2 linked regions of the Xenopus tropicalis genome follow. The main gene of each other region encodes a partner of the protein of the gene in region 2 in a complex. Links are inferred from orthologs where the notes say so. Each region holds a gene or a part of one and is shown on either strand. Other genes may lie near its edges.

Region 1 (4,947 bases), on a different chromosome or scaffold from region 2:
ATGAAATACACTGTGCTACAATAATAACAGTAAAGGTTTGGGTCAGCAACGGATATGGCACAATGGGCAGCAGAGAGAGAGGAGTCTCACACACACATCAATGGCGACTTCTAAAACATGTCTCAAATTCTAGAGTTGTACGTAAGTGACGCACTCTAATGTAAAAAAGAAGAAAGGGCAAGACGGGCAGCTTAGATCTGGTAGACAACGACAGAGGCTTGCTGACAGTTGTAATGCATTAGGCGTCAGACAGAAGCTTGTCAAAAACAGCTGCCGTTGGTTAGTGATTGATAGTGTTTTCCTTGTGGCTGCTGAAATGCACCATAACAGGCAGTTGCAGGTCTAAGAAACAAGACGACGCTCAAGGCAGACACTTCTGAACACATACAGCACAACCAGAGAGCATTTTAACAGATGGCCGAGCAATATTGGCCCACAATATCCTAAGAACATTATTTTGTGTGTAATGATCTTGTATGTAAAAGAATTTTCTGCTCATTGGAACTTTTTTTGGAACAGTGGGTTGACATTAAAACCTAATTAAAAAAAAAATATTGAAACAAAATGGTTAAGCCATTGTGCAAGTTAAATAGCTTATTAAAAAGATACTACTGCTAAACTTTAGGAATTGATTTCCACTTTATAGATAAGAAATATATTAATACTTAATATACAACCTAATTTCTTTTGTCTACAGAACAATCCTATTGGTTTTTATATCATGTAATAAAAGCTGCCATATTTATTTCCTCAACTGAGGTATATTCCGAAGACGTCTTAGCAACAGCACCATCTAGTGCCCAGCAATGGATAATGTGGCAGCTACTGTGTGAATTTTTCAGGTAAGGAAAGCAATATGGCCCCAAAATATATATATATATATTTAACTTGGAACAGCACCACAGTAATTAATCCATTAAAACGCCTTTTTTGCAAACTCAGTGCAATGGATTCATTACTGCGGTGCTGGTCAAGTCTAGTTTCCTATTGAGCAGCAGTGGAAAGTGGCCGCCGTTGGTGAATGTGCAATGCTGAAAATATTACCGACTTGTTGTGCTGACTACTATACTATATACTATATTTATATTCTCTATACACAATAAACTAAGCCCTTATACCTTAGTCTCCATTTAAAGGGGCTGCGTCACCTGCTGTGGAAAAAAAAACAATTTTCCTAAAAATGCTGATTCTATATAAAGATACTAAAAAATGTCATCATTATAAATTGAAGTAGCACTACTGATCAGTTTTGGCTATGGATATTTTTCATTTATATTTTTACCATTAACTGACGTGTGCTTTTAGATGAGAACTTGAGGATTGAAATACAGGCATGGGATCCCTTATCTGGAAACCAATTATCAACAAAGCTGTGAATTATAGGAAGGGAATCTCTTATAGAATCTGTTTTAGGTAAATAATTCTAATTTTTAAAAATGATATCCTTTTTCTCTTTTATAATAAGAGCTAATATGGTATCCTAACTAAGCTACATGAATCCAAATTGCTATCCAATCCTATTGGGTCCATTTAAGTGCAGGGGTCCTCAAATTTTTTAAACAGGGGGCCAGTACATGGCCCCTCAGACTGTTAGGGGGCTGGACTATAGTTTTGAAAAAACTACTAGTTTTATTCCTGGCCTATCACTGGCAGTGGCCCATAAATACTCAGTGCTGGGCCAAGCCACAAAAAAAATCTTCAGAAGGTCCCCCACCCATTGCAAATAGTGCTCTCCTACCTGAGAGCCAGCGGGGAGTGGTAAGTATTGGGGAGGGGGTTACGCGAGGTGACGCGCAGGGGCAGGGAGAAGGGTAAATGACTGCGGGGGGCTGTACACGGCCTGCATAGTTTGAGGACCCCTGATTTAAGGTTTAGATGATTTAAGGTCTTAGAAGCCTTAAGGTACGGTAATACAAATGATAGGTCCCAAGCATAATAGATCCCATACCTGTACATTCATTTATAAACAAAAGAACATCCAGAAGTGGCAGAGCCTTCCTTATAGGCAGCAGAGAGATCTGTATAACATACACTTTAATAAATGATACAAAACATTCTACTTGCAAAAAGAATTGAAAACCATTTAAGAGTACGACATGGAAAGTGTCTCCTTATTTCATTAGACAATAAGCCATGAGAGACACGAGGAGGAGCGTTTGGCTAAGCAGTATGAGCAGAGTACGCACAATACGGACTTATTTCAGAAAAACTTACTCTATCTTTTATTTTAGGTACAAACAGCACAAAAAACCTTCATAGAACTTTGAAAAAACAATATTATTTTATATAATTAGCTGTGTTTTTTTAACATTGATGCCATTTAAAGTTCACAGTTTAGAAAGAAAATACAGCAATAATTGTTCTTTTTTAATACAAAATAACCAGGTTTGCACAGTGACAGTGAGCACACGTGGGCCCCATGTAGGCGGGTCAAACACTAATATTAACACACTCTGTAGTGATAGCCATTGAGGTCACTTTCCCATATTGATCATGAGCATACATCAAGATATTTTTTCCATTAAGATTCATAAAATGTGCTTTTTGAAATTTTTTTAATATCTAGCATAAAAAAAACTTTGTTTACATTGGCAAATGTCAGTTTAGAAATGTATTTTATTCATTCTTTTCTTGTTATTAACACTGTCGCTATTGTTACGGATTGTAGAGAAAAACACCAGCTCTCACGTGGAAGGCTAACAACAAGGTTACAACTAACATTTCCCCCAAGCGGGCAATTCGTTATTTACAGACATTTATATATAAATGAAAAAAAAAAAAGATACTAATAAAACTAAAATAAAATTTGTAAAATGTGGTAATTCAATGCTACCGTATCCCTCAATAAAACCAGGTCTATAAAAACAGTACTATACAATATGATATGTCATTTGTTGGAAAGACGACGGCAGAGGGGAAAGGAAATGATTAGCTGACTAGTGGCATAGAATGGGCTCAGTAGTACAGGAATTGGGGGGGTTAAAGATGAATGAATGGCTCTAATTTATTTTTTTTAGCAAATAGAGCAGCCATGTCCTTATGTGGCCCCTTGTACATAAAAGCACCTTGCTGTCTCTGCACTGTAGTAGAATATGACTGCCAGCAAAGGCAGGGTCGGACTGGGGGGTGCAGGGCCAACCGAGGCTTCCGCCCACCCTCTAGCAGGGGCGTCCCAACACCCGCCCAAATCCCTCGCCCGAGCGCTTAAATTAAATTTACCTACACCGCGTCAGGGGAGGGAGACTGGCAGGTCAGTGGAGTGCCCTGTCGGGATTGGGTCTGGGCCGCCGAGGCCCACCAGGGTTTTGCCCCAGCAGCCCAGTCCAATGCTGAGCAAAGGTAAGTAATGTAGCTCTTTATTTCCATTCAGTATGGATCAGATGCTTGGGAAATAGAAGTTAAAAAAAGTGGTTAGTTAAGAACTCAGTGACTGGTTAAACAACCTAAATGGATTTCTAAATGACTTGGGTAGAGAGAAGCATGATCCAGGAAGAGACACGGAGAGAAACGAAAAATGGCTCCCCAATATAAAGTTTTCCATCCACCTAGGCACCGCCACATACTAAAGAATAAAAGATGTGTATTATAGACTGTAAATGTGGCAAGGCTACTCAGGAGTATACACAGCAGAATATTTGGTACAGGTTGAGATGTGAAGTGGAGCGGGTCTCCAAAGCTTTTTTTACCCAATAAAGACACAGCTATTTGCCCTACAAGCTGCGCTTAGAGGATGAGCTCTGAAACAGAGGCTGGCTAGGTGGCATTGCTGCTCAAAGTAAACATCAGACCTTATTTACCTATTGGGTTTAACGCCAAGTAAAACAGCTGTAAGGCATAAAAATCAAAGCGCTCATATCAGATTTTCCAACCTAAACTCCAGCTTGGCCCAAAGACACACAATTGAAATTCCACTCAAGTTCAGTTTCTGTTGGAGAAGAAGCAGCAGCCAGCGCGGCGATCACTATGGACGACGTCCCCCTTCAAGAGCTTCACATTTGAATTGGCTCTGGCTCTCGCTCATCTAATAAATTTATTAGCATTGAGAAGCTATCTTTCACAGCCTCCATGTTATCCAGTGATGTTGGCTGCAGAATCCAACGTTTCCCACGTGCAAGTGGTTCAAGTTCAAAATACTTCTTGATCTGAAAGAAAGAGAAATACAAATGTATAAATAAATATTTTGGAACACGTAACAATAACTACAGGTAAACTGATCCTGCTGCTCCGTTCTCAGATTTACAAGGGATATCTCTATATAGTATTCTTTTCACCTTCCCATCAGACACGACAGAACATAAGTTCTTCATTTAAATCATTTATAGGCTCCACCCAATCATTAGCTTTAAAAGTCTGAAATTTGCATGGCTGGTGCTTACCCAACTGGCATACTTTGGCAACTGAGTTACCTAATTGGGTAAGCCAAATTATACTAACGCATTTAATGACCATTTTCTTTTTTTTTTTTTTTTTTTTTTATTTCAACAAATCTTTATTAAATTACTCACAATTTAGTTACAGCACAGTTGTCTCATAAACGTGGAATATGTACTTATAATCAGATAACCTTAAGTATGGATAGTTAGCTATATAAGAAGGAGAAGAAGGGAAAACCGGAGAAGAGGGGAGGAAGAGGAACAGGCAACCGTAATGAAGGCGATGCTCAAGAGGATCCGAGGGGAGGAAAGAAGGAGGGGAGAAGAGGAGAAGCAGAACCAAGAGGAACTACACGGGATTCAAGGTAAGTAACAGTATAATAAAATTGCATTAAGTTGCATTAACTCGGTATGGCATGGCAAAACATTCCATAATGGTCATAGGCTGTTATGGGAGTTTAGATAAGAGAGCCAAGGCTGCCAGCACAAATCGAACTCCTGTTGTTTCTCGTGTATAGAGGAGGTAATCTCTTTTAATGACCATTTTCATATCACTCCTTAGGGACCTCTTTCC
Region 2 (5,979 bases):
CATGTTTTCCTCTCAATAGGTGGAGTCAAGTATGTGTGAGTGAACAGGAATAAATATAATGCTGATATATTGTATTACCACAGTAGTGCGAATATACAGCACTGAGGTACTTGCATATAAAGCCACTCCGCACACTGCCACATAGTTGCGCTCTGTATCACTGGTTCCATCCCGCCGCCTCTTACAAATCACATGCAGTGTATCTACCGACGCAGGGAACCGAGAGCTGGCATGCTGCACTTGTGCTCCTACATGAGCCCGTATACACTGGTTATTCAGGGAGTGCTTTTAATATGTTTTAATATGTTTTTTTACCAAGGTCCAACTTAATAAGCTTGTGTTTTCAAGACATGGTATCGAGAATGGTAAGAAATGAGATGCACACAAGGACAAAGTCTGTGGCAGGGTACAGAGGAAGGAAGAACAATGTTCATTTAAAGTCAAATCTGCTGTCTTCTACATTGAAGCTGTGACAGAATGCAATGTTTTTTCCACCCGCATATCTACTCAAGTTGAGAAAATGCAACGTGACATGACTCTAAAGGCTGTGTCTGGAGTTTACAGATAAGGAGGAGTTTACTATAAACATGGTTTAACTGGGAAGAGTGATACAATAACCGCATTATTCTCCTTCTACAACTGCTATGAAAAACCAAGAATGCAGACTTGTGTGTAAAATAAAAGTGGTCTTTAAATGTTACTGTTACAGACTGTTTAGTGTAACATATAGATAACTGTTCTGTTTTTGTGTTAAAGGCCTATTCTTGGACACTTGTTGAATACAGGTGTATATTGCGGTGTGTGTTGTGCAGTGTTCCTGCATTTCTAGCGACAGAGTTTCAGCATGACACCCTGAGGGAAACTAGTGTCACTTCTGTATCTGACCTTCATTCCAACTAACAATTAGGCAGTAGTTGGAAAGATACGTGGAGGTGCATAGGAGATGCCTGAACAGACAGCAATAAAAAATTACAACAATGTTAAATCTAGCCCTAAATCTGTCTGTGACCATAACAACCAGACAACATTTTATTGTGCAGGGCAGAGAGAAGCAAGAGTGAAAAGCAAAAAATTCAAAGCCACAAAGACAAAGGAAACAACTACTCTGGTCTGTGAGATGCTTCATTGGTAGGTTCCCCTTTAATCGTAAAAAACCCAATCAGTTCAGTAATCTTACACATTGCGAGTGAGACAGGGATGTACATATGTGGCCTGGAATCATTCCTGCCAATCTACCTGCCCTTGCTGTATAGCGCATTATTTACAATTGCTAGAGATACTAGAAATGCTGAGCGGGGGGGCACTTTTTTTTTTTTAACATGTCATTCTAAGCCACTTTCAAATATAAAAGGAGAAGGGAAGAAATAATCACCAGGGGTGCCAATTTGTTAGACATCCCCCAGTGATTATAATCCCTTAGGGCCATTATACAACCATGCCCGTGCCTGCCAGCAGATGTTGCTATAGCCCTCTCAGTGGAATCGGTGTGCTGGCCTGGCTGAATAAGCAAACAGAATCAATAATTACAAAGCACTAACAAGCTGCCACTATACCTTCCAAAAGGCAAAAGGAATATGTTTCATTAATTTAAGCATTCATCCCATTTATTTTATTGAGGGGTCATGCCTTTATCAAATGCATAGGAGTTTTACTGGACAACAAAGCTGGCAAATAAGCAGTACAGGTAAAATATATCTGTACTGGAAAAGATATACTTTGTAAGGGTTGGCTAATATGCACAAATATAATTAATAGGGATGCACCGAATACAATATTTTAGGATCCAGCCAAACCCCAATTACTTTGTGAAAGAGTCAACTGAATACAGAACCAGATCCTAATTTGAACATGCAAATTAAAATAAGGAAGGGTCAAAGAGAACCGCGCACAAAGCATGCAGTAAATACATTTCCATGTCCCGTCTTTAAGTGACAAAAAGTCACATGATTTTAAGGATTCATTCTGGCCAGAGGCATAGATTCGTCTGAATCCGAATCCTGCTGCAAAGGCTGAATCTTGGCCAAATCCTGAACCAAATCCTGGATTCGGTGCATCACTAATAATTAACAGTGGACACATACAGAAGTCTTGTAATCTATACAAAATGCATTTGTAAGTTTTGTCATGTGCTATACATTACATTCCAGCGACAATGATTAACCTGTTTGTGCCCATGGCATTTTCCTTTACCTTTTGTATATGGAATGTTTGAAGAGGTTGTTGTGTCAAATATTTGGTCCCTCTACTGTACTGTTTGACACATGGGATAGTTTCTATTATTTATACATATACACTACTCAGGAGTGATGCTAAATTGACATTAGCTTAAACATATTATATAAATGTATATTATTATTTATTATATATACAGGGTTCTAATAATCAGAATGGGTCTCTAAAAGTGAGGCCAGGGTTGAAAAATGCAGCAGTAAGTAAATACATTATCAGAACATAAGATGCACATGTAGAACCCAGACACGAAGCTCAAACAGGCCTCCAGCTGCTGACAAGAGAAGTCACATGCACTCTCAGAGCACAAATAATTTAGGGCTGCACAGAGTTGGCCAGATAAAGGTATCAGAATAGCTCAGACTGCCCCTGGTTCAATAGTATATTCAGGTTTTATATACTAACCCCAGTGTGTGAATGTGATTGGGACCTTAGACTGTAAGCTCCACTGAGGCAGTGAATGATGTATAATATCTGTAAAGTGCTGCAGAATAGCTTGATACTATATGAATTATAATGAATAAACAAATAATAAAGTACAATACCATGGTTATTTATCAATGGTCCTATTTCAGCTGGCACAGAGACAGCACGGGACTATAACCTTGCTGTTACATTGCCGCCCTGTTAGCCTTTATGATGAGGATTTCAACCAGGCATCAAAGGTCAAGTCACACGAGAGAAAGACAACGGAGACACACAGCAAAGTGAACTATAGCGTATGAACCGATAATTAAGCATTATTTAAAGGATAAGGAAGTTAAACATACCGGGGGGGGGATTGCTAAACTGAGCAAAATTGCCAAGTTTTTGGCCTGTGTGGGAGCACCTGTTCTTTCAAATTGGCTTAGGGTACTTTGCAGTAGAGTCTGGCAGCCATTTTTCCTCTCCACCCAGGTGTCCCTGCAGTAGCTTGGAGTAAGTGCATGCACATCACAGTGTGGCTTCCACATATTACTATCCTGTGCATCTGCCCAACCAACTCTGCCACAAGGGACAACTGTGACCAGAGGAAAAACAGCACTGCTGTGTACCTCTTCTGTGTGCCAACCCTAATTTCTAGCCCTTCTGTCTTGTCTGGAACCCCGCTCCTACCCTGGCACCCAATCCCTGCTCGTTACATAGTGGGGTAGGGAGGAAACAGGAGAGATTTATTGAGCGCTGTTAGTGGGAAGGAGGTTGACAAGAGGGGGTGTGGTGATTTGGGTCCTGCCTTGAAAGGTTTGGCCTAGAGCTACCCCTCAGCATGTTTATTTTTCCTTGTCCTTTAAAGAAGTTTAAAAGAATAAAAGAAGATAAAGACTTTTTATTGCACAGTACTATTTAGCATTGTATTTGCAAATTAGCCACATATTAAATCCCACTGTTGTGCAAGTACAGGATATCATGTAAAGAGATTCCTGAACAAGAGAGAATATTTTGGAAAGCACTGAGCATTATGGCTCAAACATCAAACTTCACATAGAGAAAGAGAGAGCGCGATAGAGACAGTCTATAAGAAGCTAAGCTACCTGGTGATGCAGTGAGAGCCATTACGCCATAGTATGAAAATGCACCTGCTTCGAACTTCATGCCTTCCTTGCCCGCTTCCACTTCTACCTTCCCCTGTGGATAAATATGTATTACACACGTGGCATTTCATAAATGTATTGGAAAAGAACTGGTTTCTTAGCTAAGAAACCGATTATCATATGAGCAAAGCAAACTAGTTTTACTTCTAAGTCCTGAAGGGTTATATACGTGCATGTTCCACGGGTAGGAATGCTAAGAGTGGATGTCTAATCTTTCTAGTACTTTCCCCAAAACCCAAGTGCACTGCAAAGACACGGCAACACCAGGCAGTGGGGCAAGGGAAAGATGCACAGCACGTGAATATGCTTGACAGCAACTGGTCTGACCTGTAAAACGAGAACAAAGTAGTCCACGGGCTTATTCCGCTGGTAGAGGTAGTATTCAGCAGACTTCTTGTTCCGTTCATCGAACTTTAGCTCTTGGATAACGTTGGGATGTTTCAGCAGCCTTAGCAGGATTTTCTCTGACATCTGAGAGGGGCTAAATGCATCCACTTCTACAATGGAAACAGCACACATGGGTTTATCCCTCTGGAATATATCTGTGGTAGTGCAGTGTCACCAATAAGGCTAGAAAGCCTATACATGATCGCACAATGTGACTACAGCGCTTTAGCAGGGAAGATCTGTGCCTCTAAAGATGTCCCCAGTAGCCCCATACCTTCTATTTTACTGATTCACTTCTGTGCTTCTGTCAGTCTAAGCTAAATAACTGACTGACAGTATACTGTATATGTGTGTGTATATTATATACATATATTCATTAGAAGGTGCATGAACATTCAATTATATGAAGCTCCAATACATGCCATAACACAGACAGACACACCAGGCTGCTATAACTTTGAATGAACTTGAACTAGATTTAGGAATAGAGGGAGGAAAGGTTGTATTATGAACTAACCCCTTGATTTATTGGAGACAGCAAAACACAGCAGATGTTTCAAGAGAATGCAAAAAAACATGCTAACGTTCTAAAAGTACTCTGTTGTGTTCTTCCTGCGGTTACTCCAGGGCAGGCAAGGGGGTTATACTCGCAGACCTTTAGGGCCTATGCACATCTACCAACTCAGTTAGGAGGGCCTCAGTCAGCAGCTTTTATTAGTCCATGTGTGTTACTCCCCAAACTAGAGTTGGTAGATGTGCATAGGCCCTAAAGGTCTGCGAGTCTCTGTAGGTCACAAGTACTATTCAAACTTTGTCCCAGCAGCAAATGATCGGATCAGTCATATATGGACCAGCACGTGGGTGACTAAATTAGGCAAAGATTTGTTCTTTTGGCAAGGTAGCCATACAAGTGTAAAATATATGGTCAACTTAACAATACTTCGGCTTATCTTAGCAATATGATTGCAAAAATCTTTCGCGATTCTGACTTATCTGGGGCTTGGAAGCTAAGGGACATGCCCTTAATTAAAAGATTTTAAAAGGCCTACTAACAAAGAAAACATGGTACCTTCAGAATGATTACTTTAGCAGCAGATCATTTTTATCATAGTATGTGACCTATTAAAGAATCTTCCCAAATGGACACATACTGATTAGTATTTAGCTTTTACATCTATTACCATAAATTATCCACCATTTTGTGTTCTGTGTGTCACTTATCACCTGACAGGAAATAATGCAGGTTCTAACTAGAACAGGAAGAAGTGTGGGAGTAAAAGACACAGCCCATTGACTGGCTGATATAACCTGGCATGTATGTGTGCCCTTGGTTTGTGTGTGCCACAGTGCCTTATATAAGCCAGAGGGCTGGGCAGTGTTTCTATCCAGGGTTAACTAATGGCACATACTACTAGCAATGTATATTTTTACACTATTTCCGAGTCACTTTTGACCCAGCTTCATTGCTTCTGAGCAATTTTTTTTTCTCATTTCAGCTTTTATTGTAGAATAATAAAACAAAAAACACAGTTATTTTGGTCGTCTTTACATTTATACGTTTAACACAAATGCAAATCAGAGAGATGTTCCTTATAGCTGTTGCTGTATAGTTTAGTTTCCAGGATTCTTCCCTCACTGTACTCAGGAAGTAAGAAACACGTGTTGGCACGGAGCACACAAAGTCGATCTTCCCTAAGCCCAAGCGCCCCTTTCCCATCCCCAGCTAAATACTGGCTTTCATATTACTAGTGATCTCAAACTGTGATAAGCCCAACTTGCCTGTTGCTAGGAA

What was found. The genes of interacting proteins can lie anywhere in the genome.
Region 1: the proteins of cnnm2 (region 2) and arl15 are in contact, whole or in part, in a crystal structure (PDB 8F6D), measured with the Homo sapiens proteins. The link is inferred for Xenopus tropicalis from reciprocal best matches to the Homo sapiens genes CNNM2 and ARL15. Residues at the interface, in NP_060119.3 of Homo sapiens: Asn490, Val492, Pro521, Leu522, His523, Phe524, Val525, Phe526, Thr529, Glu537, Lys542, Ser543, Gln549; in NP_061960.1 of Homo sapiens: Tyr92, Ser94, Arg95, Gln98, Gln128, His129, Pro130, Gln131, Cys133.

The regions. Positions count from the first base shown.
Region 1 is NC_030677.2:192,212,859-192,217,805, reverse strand, and holds the end of arl15 (ADP-ribosylation factor-like protein 15), read right to left. Parts: intron 4,143-4,947; coding exon 3,990-4,142; 3' UTR 2,204-3,989; downstream 1-2,203.
Region 2 is NC_030683.2:28,757,045-28,763,023, forward strand, and holds part of cnnm2 (metal transporter CNNM2 precursor), read right to left. Parts: coding exon 5,961-5,979; intron 4,298-5,960; coding exon of another isoform or gene 4,295-4,297; coding exon 4,128-4,294; intron 3,835-4,127; coding exon 3,741-3,834; intron 1-3,740.